Linked DNA regions of Arabidopsis thaliana. The protein of the gene in region 3 purifies or fractionates together with the protein of the main gene of each other region. This does not show direct contact. Each region holds a gene or a part of one and is shown on either strand. Other genes may lie near its edges.

Region 1 (4,160 bases), on a different chromosome or scaffold from region 3:
ATCAGGTGGATACACATCATTGGATGATGTAACAGAAGTGCCTCCTCATAGAAGAGATAAGATGGAGACATTTTTCCTTGGTGAAACATTGAAGTACTTATACTTGCTCTTTGGAGATGACTCAGTGATACCATTGGATAAGTTTGTTTTCAACACTGAAGCTCATCCATTACCAATAAGAAGAAACACCTGAAGGCTTAGTTTTGAAGACTACTCCAGACAATACACACACACACACACATACACAAACTTAAGAGAGGGTATGGAGAAAGTGATGTATAGTACACTGCCAATTGGAGAAGAAGTTAGTTCGTTGAGGAAAAAAAGTCATAACTTTCAATGTAAGATAAGCTTCTGCATCCAAATTATAACTTAACTCGTAAAAGTTTTTGCTTGTAGTAGTAGGTTTCTTGAGACTAATATTCTCTCTTTTCGTTAAGCTCTCACTTGGCAAAATGTAATCAGACACAATTGACATGGAGATGAATTATGGTTTTAGTTTTTTATACATACCATTTACACTGCAAGATAAGATCATTCTGATATGACTAATAAACCTTTAAATTTGAGATCATTTGGTCATCTTAGCTCTTTGTAATCTGCAAGGTGTTGCATAGAACATAATCGACTTGAAGTATGTATGAAGACCAAATTAGGCGCACACACACAATATTTTTTTGTAAATCTCCAAACTCATAACTTCATAAAGGGCGACAAGATCATGTATAAGTTACACACTTAAGTCTAGTTGTCAACAAAAAAAGATTAGTGACACAAAGAGACATCAATCACCCAATAAACTGAAACCACAAGAACCCTCAGTAACTGAATATGACACCATTGAGACAAGGCCGAGCACAGTGGAAAGGGTTTAACAAGTGTGGTTGCAACTGAGTAGCTCAATCAAGCCTTTGCTTTTCCTGCCTGGATAGTTTGTAGCCTTTGTTGTAACTTCATTATCTGCAAATATTTTGATTCCATAAATTGAAACCATAGGATCATTATCACCATTTAAAAGCCAAGAAAGTGCAGAAACAGCAAATCCTCATATTGCGCCAAGGCCAGTAGGCCACTCAACGAGACAGAGGAGATAACAAAGTTCAAGTATTTACTTTCCGGGCAGGCTTAAACTGACAACAATAGCTACCAAAGTATCTTTTTAGAGCTTAGTATACTGAGCATCAATGTTTGGACTATTATTGGTGTAGCAGTCCTAGTATCACTAATTCAATGCACTCAAAGAAGTATATAAATGCATGAGAGGCAGATGTCTTACCGTTTCTCTCTTGTTGTTTTGTTTTTCTTCCATATCTTGAAGAATTGCATCAAGCCGTTTCCTGCAAAGGATACAACAATATTCTTGAGGTCACAACACTATAGCTCAAACACTTTATCAACATCTCTCATAGTTGTTACATAGCTAGAAGTGAAAACATTTTAGCTACTTATGAACAGCAATCACTCACTATTAGCCTAGAAAGAAAGAAAGGTTCTTTATTTACAATAACAATCCCAAAATAGGTTTCTCAACGAACTGCATTTGCTTCAATCACATTAAAAGAAAAGAAACTCACAATTCAGCAGAGATGTACTCAATTCGTTTACGAACATTTGCATTAGCTTCAGCCAAATCCTGCTTCACTAACACCGGACCAATCAATTTGTAGACGTTAGCATCTTCTTCCAGCAAATCTAACTCCTGTAGATACAAGACAGACACATAAAAAGATTAAAGCCAATCAACAATCGAAATAAACTTCTCTTTTCAGTTGAAGTAGCCACAAAACTCAGATTAAACAGTGAGACATGAACATATACCTTAAGCACGAGCTCATTCTCACCGAGTTGGATCGTATACTTCTTTCTCAGCTGATGATTCTTCCCGATATCTGAAAATATGAACACAGAAAAGTAGGGTTTCCCGCCTCCAGAAACAAGAAAAGAATCAAATCGAGAAAAGTTACGAGAATCTACGAAACTTGCCTTTCTGGATTTTGCCGAGATCATTAGCCTTGTTTTCTAGGTCTCTCTGCAAATCACGAACAGTCGATGAACTCATCTTCGTCGTCGTCGTCTGCTTCTTCCTCACTCCGGTGGTTTATTGAAAACTCGCAGATCCACCAAGGAGCAGTAACAAAACTCCGTTAAAGCCCCCGTGTTTTAGTAAGGCCCAAAACCGTATTAACTTGGACTTTTTAACGGCCCAATATGCTTTTCTTCTATTATCAAGCCTAGTTTTAGTTACATACAAAAGAAAAACACTATTTATCACTTGGTGACGTAATATCTTCTAGTTCACTGATCATATCAACACTGAACATAACTCTCATAAACACAAATTTTTACTTTTCGTCCCTTTATACCTCAATCTATAACGGGAAAAATGTCGTTTAATACGTGAACTTTAAAAAAATGGTCATTTAATACGTGAACTTTATATATGGTAAATTAATACATACAAAAATCGTTGACTGGCCATTTTACACAAACTTAATCGTTGATCAGGCCAAAATCTACACGACGTTATCTGACATTAACAGACCGATAACAGCCGTTAACTAATCTCTGTTAGTTTCCAATACGACGTCATTTCGATTATCGCAAAAACGGGAAAAATGCCATTTAATACTCCAACTTTCAAATTATGGTCATTTTATACATCAACTTCACATATGGCCATTTTATACATGAACTAAACGTTGACCAACAGTTTAAAAAATGAGAATGTGTTAACCAGGCCAAAGAGACATACCGCTATCTAGGCCTAGGTATTTGAATAAATCCAAACCGAATCCAAACAAAAATCTGAATATCTAGGTCTAGATAGCGGTATGTCTTTTTGGTCTAATCAACGCATTCTCATATTTTAAACTATTGGTCAACGTTTAGTTCATATATAAAATGGCCACATGTGAAGTTGATATATAAAATGACCACAATTTGAAAATTGGAGTATTAAATGGCATTTTCCGTTTTCGCGATACTCGAAACAACGTCGTATTAGAAACTAACGAAGATTAGTTAACGACTGTTATCGGTCTGTTAATGTCAGATAACGTCGTGTAGATTTTGGCTTGATCAACGATTAAGTTTATGTAAAATTGTCAGTCAACGATTTTTGTATGTATTAATTTGCCATATATAAAGTTCACGTATTAAATGGCCAATTTTGAAAGTTCACGTATTAAACAACATTTTTTCAAATCTATAATAGTGAAAAGCCGAAGATTTTACAAAGACATTTTTGTTGTTGTCAAACTAATAATTCACTCCACAGCCTAAAAGAAATAGAGTTGGATCAAAAGTAAAGTTGCCACTTTAGTCTCGCATCTAGCACAGATCCAATGAGAGGGAAAAAAAAAGAGAGAACCTAGGTCAATACTAAAACTTATTCCATCGTGGCTCTACTAATTAGAACAATTAAATACTATGTTACAGTAGAAACATTTCTTTTACTTTTTTTTTGTTATGCGTGCATGGAGTTTTGTCTGTAAAGAGCTTTAAATATAGTGGAAATTAAATGTTGAGAGTTAAAAAAAAAGAAGAAAAAAAAAGACAAGGAGTGAGGAATCTTGGATAAAAGGACACTAACCTTCCCTGTCTTTGCTCGCTGCCCGAAAAGAACATACAGAAAGACACTTTCACATTTCACACTTACAGAGAGAGAGAAGAGAGATAAAGAGAGCATTTAGATATCTTGAGGAAGACGAAGAAGAAGTAGAGGAGAGATATGGTTCCGAGCAACAATAGATGCAAATGGAGTTCCATTTTCTTGTTTCTGCTCAGTGTCTCCGTTGCCGTCTTAGTCGCCGTCGCTGACGACAAGTCTCCGGCGGTTGAGGATGGTACGCTTTTCACTTACCTTCATCAAATTTCTTTGTTCTTTTCTGGTCTCTGCGTGATTGGTTTTTCTCAAAAATGCCATTTAAATAAGAATCTTGTGTTATCAAGATTTGGTTTCTTGAATCCAACCCATCTCTGTTTCAAGAACAGAGGACCAAAATAATTTAGTTTCAGATGATTGATTTAGTTTTTATCTGGATTTTGAGTGTTTAGATTTTTGGGGGTTTTCCTCAATTTCACTTCACTGTTGCTAAGATTTTTAAGTTGAGTTTTCTTCTTTACTAAAGATTAGAAATCTGTTATGTTAATGTCTAGTT
Region 2 (3,824 bases), on a different chromosome or scaffold from region 3:
AAACAAATGAATCAAGTTTTGTGCGTGTTTGTTTGAAGTGAAACATATGCCTAATAGCATATATAGCTAATCCAATTTGGCAATCCGACTTGCTAGCATAAACTTTTCCTTTATATACATCTTCACCGTCAGCCCTATCTATATCCGGCATTATGGCAGCTTCATACTCCGTGTCATCAAACAGAGGAGGAATATCAAACTCTTCATCGTCCACATCCGACAGCTTCCTATTTTCTCTTGCAGTTTCATTTGTATTACAATCACCTGTTCTATTGTTAACAACTTTTCCCGTTCCACTGCTGTTTGCAAGTAAATCAGTTGGATGCTTAATCGAAGACGTTATCAAATCATCAATTTCCATGTTCGAACCTGCACCTTCCACACTGGCCACCAATTCTGTGTCTACTGTTGGTGACGCAAATCCCATTCTAACATCAGCATCTTCTTCCCCGACACATATTATATCCAATGCATTTGAGCCACCCATGTCCTCATCCAAGAATGGGCTCCAAAACTCCACATCATAAGATTGGGGTTTTACTTCTATAATCTCATCCCAAGTAAGATCTTCGCTTCCTTCATCCACTAGATCTTCATCATCAAGATCTTCAGATAAAATTTCACTAACAAGAGGACCTCGTTCACAACCTATAACTCTTTCTATAGTTTCAAGTTCTGCAACAAATTCTTCATCTTCGGAGGACAGCAAAAATTCTTTCAACCCGACCTTCGATATACTATCTTCTGATCCACATAAACGTTTCGACTTATTCCCTCTTCCGTCATCTTCCTTAACTGAACTGGTCTTCACTAGCCCACCGTCAACCTCAGAATTGTTTAAAACTCTTTTACAAGATGTTCCAAACTTTACAAACATGTTGGTTCCAACATTTGCTTCCAATATCTTCATAAAATAACTTAGCCCCACATCAGTCGTCACGACGACCGGTGGTGTTTTATCTCCGGTGGTAAAATCTCTTATATTTGGGGTACAGAAGCTTAAATCAACCTTCGTACTCGTTGAAATTCCAAATTCTACTCTAATGGCTTCCACGAATTCTGATAGCTTAATACCTTTATATACAGGCACAATTCGAGATTTCATTACCTTATTAACCTCAACATACCACTTCTCATCCTCCTCGCAATTCCAATCCCCGCATATTACATAACAGAAGCCATCCTCAGTTCCCTGCAATATATAAATTTTTTATCTTAGACAGTCAATAATATATCAGCGAATATTTTCTACTATTGTTACCAATCCATTTTTTCTTACCATCGTTATGATATCTTTGTTAGTTGCTTCAAACTTCAGAGCTTCTCTTTCTTTTGTTCATCGTCATTCAAACTTCGATGACATAGTTATTCGTTCCATGCTTTCTCCGGTTTGCAAAAACAAAATAAACCGGTTTCCCCAAACTCTTACCCTAAATAACCGATTTTACTTGATTTAATTAATAGGGTCAATTAAGTCTTTTTCCCCCTTATAATTGATCACCCTTATAATTGATCAGAAGTGTGCCTGTCGGCAAAACTTTTGCTCAACATGTTTTCGAAAGTGTATGATAATGCAAATCACCCTTAAAATATAATATGGTAAAATAATTTGGTGGTGTTAGCTGAATTGGTTACGATACAAACAATGGTTTGGGTGGTTGATTATACAAGAAAAAAAAGACAATGACTTTGAGTCTTTGATTTACAAAATCATGGTACAATCTAAAACCAAATGGGTAAATTAAATTGTGTTATTGGGTAGAATTGTTTGTTCCAATGCAAACACATATTTTTTTAAAAGTATAAAATCATCGTTAATTATAAATGGGCCGATTTGACCCAATAAAGCCTTGATAAACCGGGCTAAGCCGTCTGAAACCCGACCCGGGTAGTTCTAACTTTTTGACCCTAAAACGAAAGACCCTTCTCTAGCACGTCGGGGTTCGTTCAAAGATCAAGATCTGCAGACATGGCGGACGAAGCAACCAGAGCTGTGAGTACCTCTCTCTCTCTTAAATCAGCTCAATTTTCTAGTGGAATATTCTTCTTTCCCCAGTAAGATGTTGCAGAAAATGGAATTGTAATGTGTATAGTTACAACAGGCTTTTATGGAGATTCAAGCTAGCATGATTGAACTCACTGGGAAGCTCAAACAGGTGAATCCTCACTTTCTTTGTATTTATCAAGTTTTAGAATCAAACGTGACACATTGTATAAGGGTTTACTTGTAATTTGTTAGTTCTTGAACTGTGTTTGGTTTTATAATCCCTTCTTTCATGTTGTGTAATGACAAAATTGGCTTTCCTAGGTTATTGTCATGTGGTGCTGAAAAACTGAAATGTGAATGTGGATGGGTTTTATATATAGGTGCAGAATCAGATGCGCAACAAAGAGGGAGATAGAAAGCGAGCTTTCTTAACCTTGGAGGAGCTGAGGCCATTGCCTGAAGAGACAAACACCTACAAGTCAATAGGCAAGTGATTCAATTCTCTGGTTTTGAGACAAGGACTAGTAAAGTTTTGGTCTAATTTGTGTTTTATTCTTGTTTTCAGGAAGAACGTGAGTGGTGGTTATTAGTCAGTCCAACTAGAGGCCTTTAGAGAATTTTGAAGGCTGATTATAGTTTGTATGGTGAACAGGTTTGTTCTAGAGCCCAAGACAGTGCTGGAGGGTGAACAAGAGCAAAAACTCAAGGACAGTGAAGCTGCCGTTGCTTCTCTACAGGTAACAATCATTCCCTCTTTCAACATCTTATTGGGTTATTAGGAGATCATTGAGATGCTGGTTATCAAACATGTTTTGTTTTCGGGATGATTTTTAGACATCCAAGGAATACTTGGAGAAGCAGGTAGCAGAGGTTGAGAACAACTTGAGGGAGCTGTTGCAGCAAGAACCGGGCATTGCTCAACAGATTATGTCCATGTCTATGTAACTTTTGTATTATCCCAAACCTTTGAGTTTGGAGAGCTTTTGGGATTGAAACCATAACATGTTCTAGTTAAAAGTTGTAACATTCAAAAGTTTTTGTTCGATCAGTATTGTTTTAAAGCCTCTGGTCTATGATATTGCAAAAAACTGAGATTTCTTATGCGACAACAAATGCATGATCTATCTAACTCGAAAACAAAAATTTTAACAAGGATGAGGTCTCTCTATGATTCTTCGGAGAGAAAACTCAATCCTTGTTCCACCGTTCGGTATGCTTACCGGCTTTCGTTGTCCGGATGAGAAGACTTTGTTTCCGGTGTGGTCTGGCTCTGTTTTCGGTGTGATTCGGCTCATATTTCGGGTATTTGTTGCTAAAATGGAATTCGCTTTGTTTCTTGAGGGAAGATTAGGATAAGTCGATTGAATAATTTTCCGGCGATCTTGGCCGGAATTGAAGCTTTCTGATCAACGGAGACTCTCACATCTTCAACTTTGCATGTGTCTTCTAACCTGCTTCCTGCTTGCCACATGTCTAATATAATGCATTTAAGCTTTTCCTTCAGCTTTCTTATTGGACTTTGTTTTCTTTTGTTTGGCTTCCTTGGTTTAGTGTTTGTAAAATATTGGCATGTTACTTTGGCTTTCTATACTAAATAAAACACACTTTTGACAAAAAAAAAAAAAAAAAAAGACTACAACTCGAGATTGCATCTAACATTGTGAATATATATAAATTTAACCTCACAATCTAAACACAAGTAGATGTAATATATATTATGAATTCAGTGAAACAATAGTTAAAACTCAAGTTGATCAATCATCAATAGCATGTGAGCAATAAGTGTCAAAAGAGATACACATACACATCAAACCCCAACAAATACATTCCTTCATGT
Region 3 (4,311 bases):
TTGTGTGATCAAAAACAGTGACGAGAGGACAACTACATCTACTTTATAAATAGCCCCAAGCTTGGTACAATATTTTAGTGATTTGGAATTACAAACAAAAATATTTTCTTTATCTCTTGTAGATCAGATTAGACAATCAAGAAAGCATATCCAAAAAGCTTTTATCCAATCTACGATCTGATAACATATCAATAACCATCTTTATGGTGGAAGAATCTGCAGAGAACCCACACACCTTCATTTCTTCTATGAGTTCAACTGAAGAGATTAGACCACTACCTCCAAGATGTGCCCTGATAAGAATGTTGTACGTAAAATCATCCGGAGTACACCCATCCTCCTTCATTTTTCTAAACAGCATATCGGCTTCAGACAACGAGCCTTTCTTACATAGTCCTCCAATCATTACATTGTATGTCACGACATCAGGTTTCACTCCTTTGTCAGAGAGGCTACAGAATAAACTCCAAGCATCATCGACCTTACTAGCATTGCACATCCCGTGAATGATGATATTATAGATACCAATACCAAGAGTCATCCTACTCTTCTGCATTTTCTCAAATATCTCCAATGCTTTATTTAGTTCACCATTGTCACACAAACCATCCAGCAAAATACCATAAGTTACAACACTTGGTGGCACACCACGAGAAACCATCTCTTGGAAGAGTTCTTTGGCGGCGTTAAGTTTTCCCGATTGACAAAACCCTAGGACAAGAGTGTTATAAGTGATTGTATTAGGAATCAATCCTTTCGAAGAAATCTCACGAAAAAGTCTCATACCATCATCAACTCTCTTAGCTTTGCAGTAGCTATTTATGAGAATACTATAAGTCACGATGTCAGGTTCGCACCCTTTGCTAACCATCAGATCAAACATCTGATTAGCCTCATGTAAGCAATTCTCCTTACAAAACCCATCAATTAATGAATTATATGTAATGGTGTCAGGAGCTATACCTCTTGTGATCATCTCATTGTACAACTCTTTAGCCTCTAGAAGCTTCCCCTCTTTCACAAAAACATCAATCAAAGCACTAAATGTGACAACATCGGGAATGATATTCCTTCCAATCATCTCCCTCAACATCTTTGCACCATCATCCCATTTACCGTCGTTACAAAGACCTCCTATAAGAGAACTATACGTAACAACATCAGCTTTAATCCCTTTCATCTCCATCTCATTGAAAAGGCTAAGCGCATCGTCAAAGCTCCCATCTTTACAAAGACTATCAATAACAATACTATACTGAACAACACTAGCTTTGATATTTCTTTCTTCCATCTTTCTAAACAAATCCAAAGCCAAAGCAGAGTTCCCTGACTTACACAGTCTATTCAAAACCGGTCCATAAGTAACCTCATCAGGTTGAAAACCATACTCAACCATCCTATCAATCAAAACCAAAGCTTCAGACACTCTACCCTTTAGACAAAGTCCATTGATCAGAGTGCTAACGGTTACAAGATCCGGTCTTTGCTTCATTTCCACCATCCGATCAACTAACGCAACCGCTTCAGAAACTCTACCCTCGAGGCAAAACCCGTTAACCAAAGTCGAAAACGTGATTGTATCAGGCTCATACCCAAGCTTCCAAGCTCTCCCAAGAACAGAAAATGCGAAAAGAAGTTTCTTTTTTCTACAATAGCAATTGATCATAATGGTCATAGTATACATGTCATGCTCAATCCCATTCAACTCCATTCCCTTGCAGAAACCTAACACTAAATCATACTGTTTCGTTCTAGCAACAGCACTACACAATCTATTGAAATCGATTGGAGTAGGTAAAGGACGAGATTGAATCATGGATTCGAAGAGATCAATAGCATCATTAACCTTAATATCAACAATCCCATTCCTTAATCTCTCTTTATAAGAAAGCTTCGCTTCGGTGATACTAGAATAGTGTAATAAAGAAGTACCTTTCTCAAGAATCTGAGTAAAGTTCGAAGCTTTTCGATTTAGAGGAATCAATCTCTGTATCATCTTCTTCAATGAATGAATCGTTGGTCCTTTGTGCTGTGTGAGAGAGAAGAGAAGAAGAAGGAAATGAAAATTCCGGTTTTGATTCATTCATATATTTAAACCCGGTTCAATGTTTTGATTTAAAAATCAAAGCGGTTTTAATTGGGAAAGGTACGAGTTAAACCCAACCTTGTTTCTTCATCTTCCTCACTCTCTGCGCCGCGTTTGCTTCCATCGTTCTCTCGATTGTTTCCTCTCAAGCGAAGCTTCTTCTTCTTCGATCTTCTTCCTCGTGTGTGGATTCGTTTCTGAAAGTAAGTATTTTTGTTAGTTGTTGATTTTTTTTTGTGGTTCAAATGGTCTTAAGATTTGTGTCGATATCGATCTCGGAGTAAACAGAATCTAGCTCTGGAATCGTAGAAATTTTCACTGAGACTTCTTAGATCCCAATCAAGCTTCGTTAATGTTAGAAAATTAGCTTAGATCATGGAATATATGTGTTGAGAGTTGATATAAGTAGACGTTGAAACCCTAGTTTGGAGAAATAGCCCTGATTGTTGAAAAGGATGTTAAATTGGTTGTTGTTATCGTTTCTATGTTTGAGTCTCTGTTGCCATAGTTTGAGATTGGAGTATTATGTAGGAGATGATACACTGTTAGTGAACTCATATACGTCTACTTTGTGGAATGTTCTGTGTTGGTTGCTTCTACTTGTATAAGTGTATTTGATGCTATGAGACTGATGGATTCTGAAGGATAAGCTATGTCATTGGTTTAGATGTGGCTGTTGTAGTATTTAGATCTATTTGATGGAAAAGGGCGTGATTGTTCGTGACAAGATAGTGATGGAATGATTGTAGGATTGATCTTGATCTGGTAAAAGCCTTATGCTTCACCATGTTTTGTATTTTATAACTTCTGAGAGAATAATGAATTAAGTATGAATCATTCTTGAGGTAAGATAGTTCTCTGCATTGGTTAAGTGATTAGTATTCTTTCCAATGTGCTTGGAATTGTTTTGTAACAATTGTGTTTTTCGGTTCGTAGTTGTGTCAGATGCAAATGTTTCTCTGAGTGTTGTTGTTTGAGTTTCTTTATTGATTTACTCTCATTTTTTGCTTCAACTATGCAATTCGTGATTTCTTGGATCTAATTTCTGTAGTAGGATCGAAGTAATGGCCAGCAAATCTGGAAGCGGTGGCCTAAGAGAACCGCCGAATGAGCAAGCTGTTTTGAACATGTATGAAGGCAAGAGATCAGAGCTAAGCCAAATCTACTCCAACATAACCGACCTCGAGATGCAAGTGAGCGAACATTCTCTGGTCATTAACGCCATTCAGCCTCTCGACCAATCGAGGAAATGCTTCCGCATGATAGGAGGCGTTCTTGTCGAAAGAACCATCAAAGAGGTACTACCAGCTGTCCAACGTAACAAGGACGGACTTGAAGAGGTTGTGAGGAAGCTATACGAGACATTGGAGAAAAAGAAGAAAGATCTTACAGAGTTTGAAGCTAAGTATAAGATCAGGATAACGAAACAAGAAGATAACAAGGAAGGAGGTAACAAGAAGGAAGGTAATGCTCAAGGTGTTCTTGTTGGAGCTGCCAGTTCAAGCCAGTAAAACTCTATATTTGGCAGTTTGTTTTACTGTTGTATCTCTTTTTTGGATCTTATGGTTAAAAGCCGTAAACTTTGCTGGAAAAAATCAACATGTTTTGAATGTCACAAAACTAGTAGACTGGAGAAATGCCATATTTATGTAGATCCGTTGTGCTAGAGAAAGATTTCAACTTTATAACCGGAAAGTGACCATTTTTTTACATTATGACTGAACTTTTTTGAACAACAGAACCAAAACATCTCCCTCTCGCAGGATTTTTCATATATCAGCTCTCTCGTTAAGCCTAGCGGCGGCAGTAATAGAAGCCGCTACACCACCAGGGTGAGTAGACAAATTAGGATTGTTCCTCAGCTCAGCGCTCACCACTCCCTCTGCGTCCTGCCTGGTCACAGCTTTATCTGCGGCTAACTTCCCGGTCGCACCCTAATAAGCCATCCGGTTCAAACACATTTAGACAATCTTAAAACTAAAACATTAAGACATTGAAGATGTTTTTAAAATTGGGGTTTAACCGCCAAAACATCAATGAGCTTGATTTTATCCTCATCACGGTCTATGGTAGCGTTGTGATTTGCTGCTGATTGAGCAGAAGCGGCGATTCCACCAGGAGCAATCACATTAGTGCCACAAGCTCTAACCTCTGCCGCTTGAATCGCTGCTGCGTCGCTTTGATCCACCGGTTTGTTTCCAGCGGTTTGCACAGTCGCTTCCAAT

What was found.
Region 1: the proteins of PDF2 (region 3) and PFD6 fractionate together in Arabidopsis thaliana (co-fractionation; one large-scale study listed by BioGRID). This does not show direct contact.
Region 2: the proteins of PDF2 (region 3) and PFD1 fractionate together in Arabidopsis thaliana (co-fractionation; one large-scale study listed by BioGRID). This does not show direct contact.

What each region holds. Positions count from the first base shown.
Region 1 is NC_003070.9:10,505,565-10,509,724, reverse strand, and holds PFD6 (prefoldin 6), read right to left. Parts: upstream 2,193-4,160; 5' UTR 2,060-2,192; coding exon 1,984-2,059; intron 1,890-1,983; coding exon 1,819-1,889; intron 1,700-1,818; coding exon 1,575-1,699; intron 1,338-1,574; coding exon 1,277-1,337; intron 961-1,276; coding exon 904-960; 3' UTR 574-903; downstream 1-573. Other genes in the region: MNS3 (alpha-mannosidase 3), read left to right, coding at 1-193; AT1G29980 (choice-of-anchor C domain protein, putative (Protein of unknown function, DUF642)), read left to right, coding at 3,731-3,845. UniProt on the Arabidopsis thaliana protein: Binds specifically to cytosolic chaperonin (c-CPN) and transfers target proteins to it. Binds to nascent polypeptide chain and promotes folding in an environment in which there are many competing pathways for nonnative proteins.
Region 2 is NC_003071.7:3,043,675-3,047,498, forward strand, and holds PFD1 (PREFOLDIN 1), read left to right. Parts: upstream 1-1,848; 5' UTR 1,849-1,969; coding exon 1,970-1,993; intron 1,994-2,102; coding exon 2,103-2,156; intron 2,157-2,367; coding exon 2,368-2,473; coding exon of another isoform or gene 2,474-2,477; intron 2,478-2,552; coding exon 2,553-2,559; intron 2,560-2,639; coding exon 2,640-2,724; intron 2,725-2,821; coding exon 2,822-2,932; 3' UTR 2,933-3,230; downstream 3,231-3,824. UniProt on the Arabidopsis thaliana protein: Binds specifically to cytosolic chaperonin (c-CPN) and transfers target proteins to it. Binds to nascent polypeptide chain and promotes folding in an environment in which there are many competing pathways for nonnative proteins.
Region 3 is NC_003074.8:7,965,930-7,970,240, forward strand, and holds PDF2 (prefoldin 2), read left to right. Parts: upstream 1-2,059; 5' UTR 2,060-2,289; intron 2,290-2,648; exon of another isoform or gene 2,649-2,889; intron 2,890-3,137; 5' UTR 3,138-3,150; coding exon 3,151-3,597; 3' UTR 3,598-3,776; downstream 3,777-4,311. Other genes in the region: AT3G22470 (Pentatricopeptide repeat (PPR) superfamily protein), read right to left, coding at 137-1,996; AT3G22490 (Seed maturation protein), read right to left, coding at 3,856-4,020, 4,110-4,311.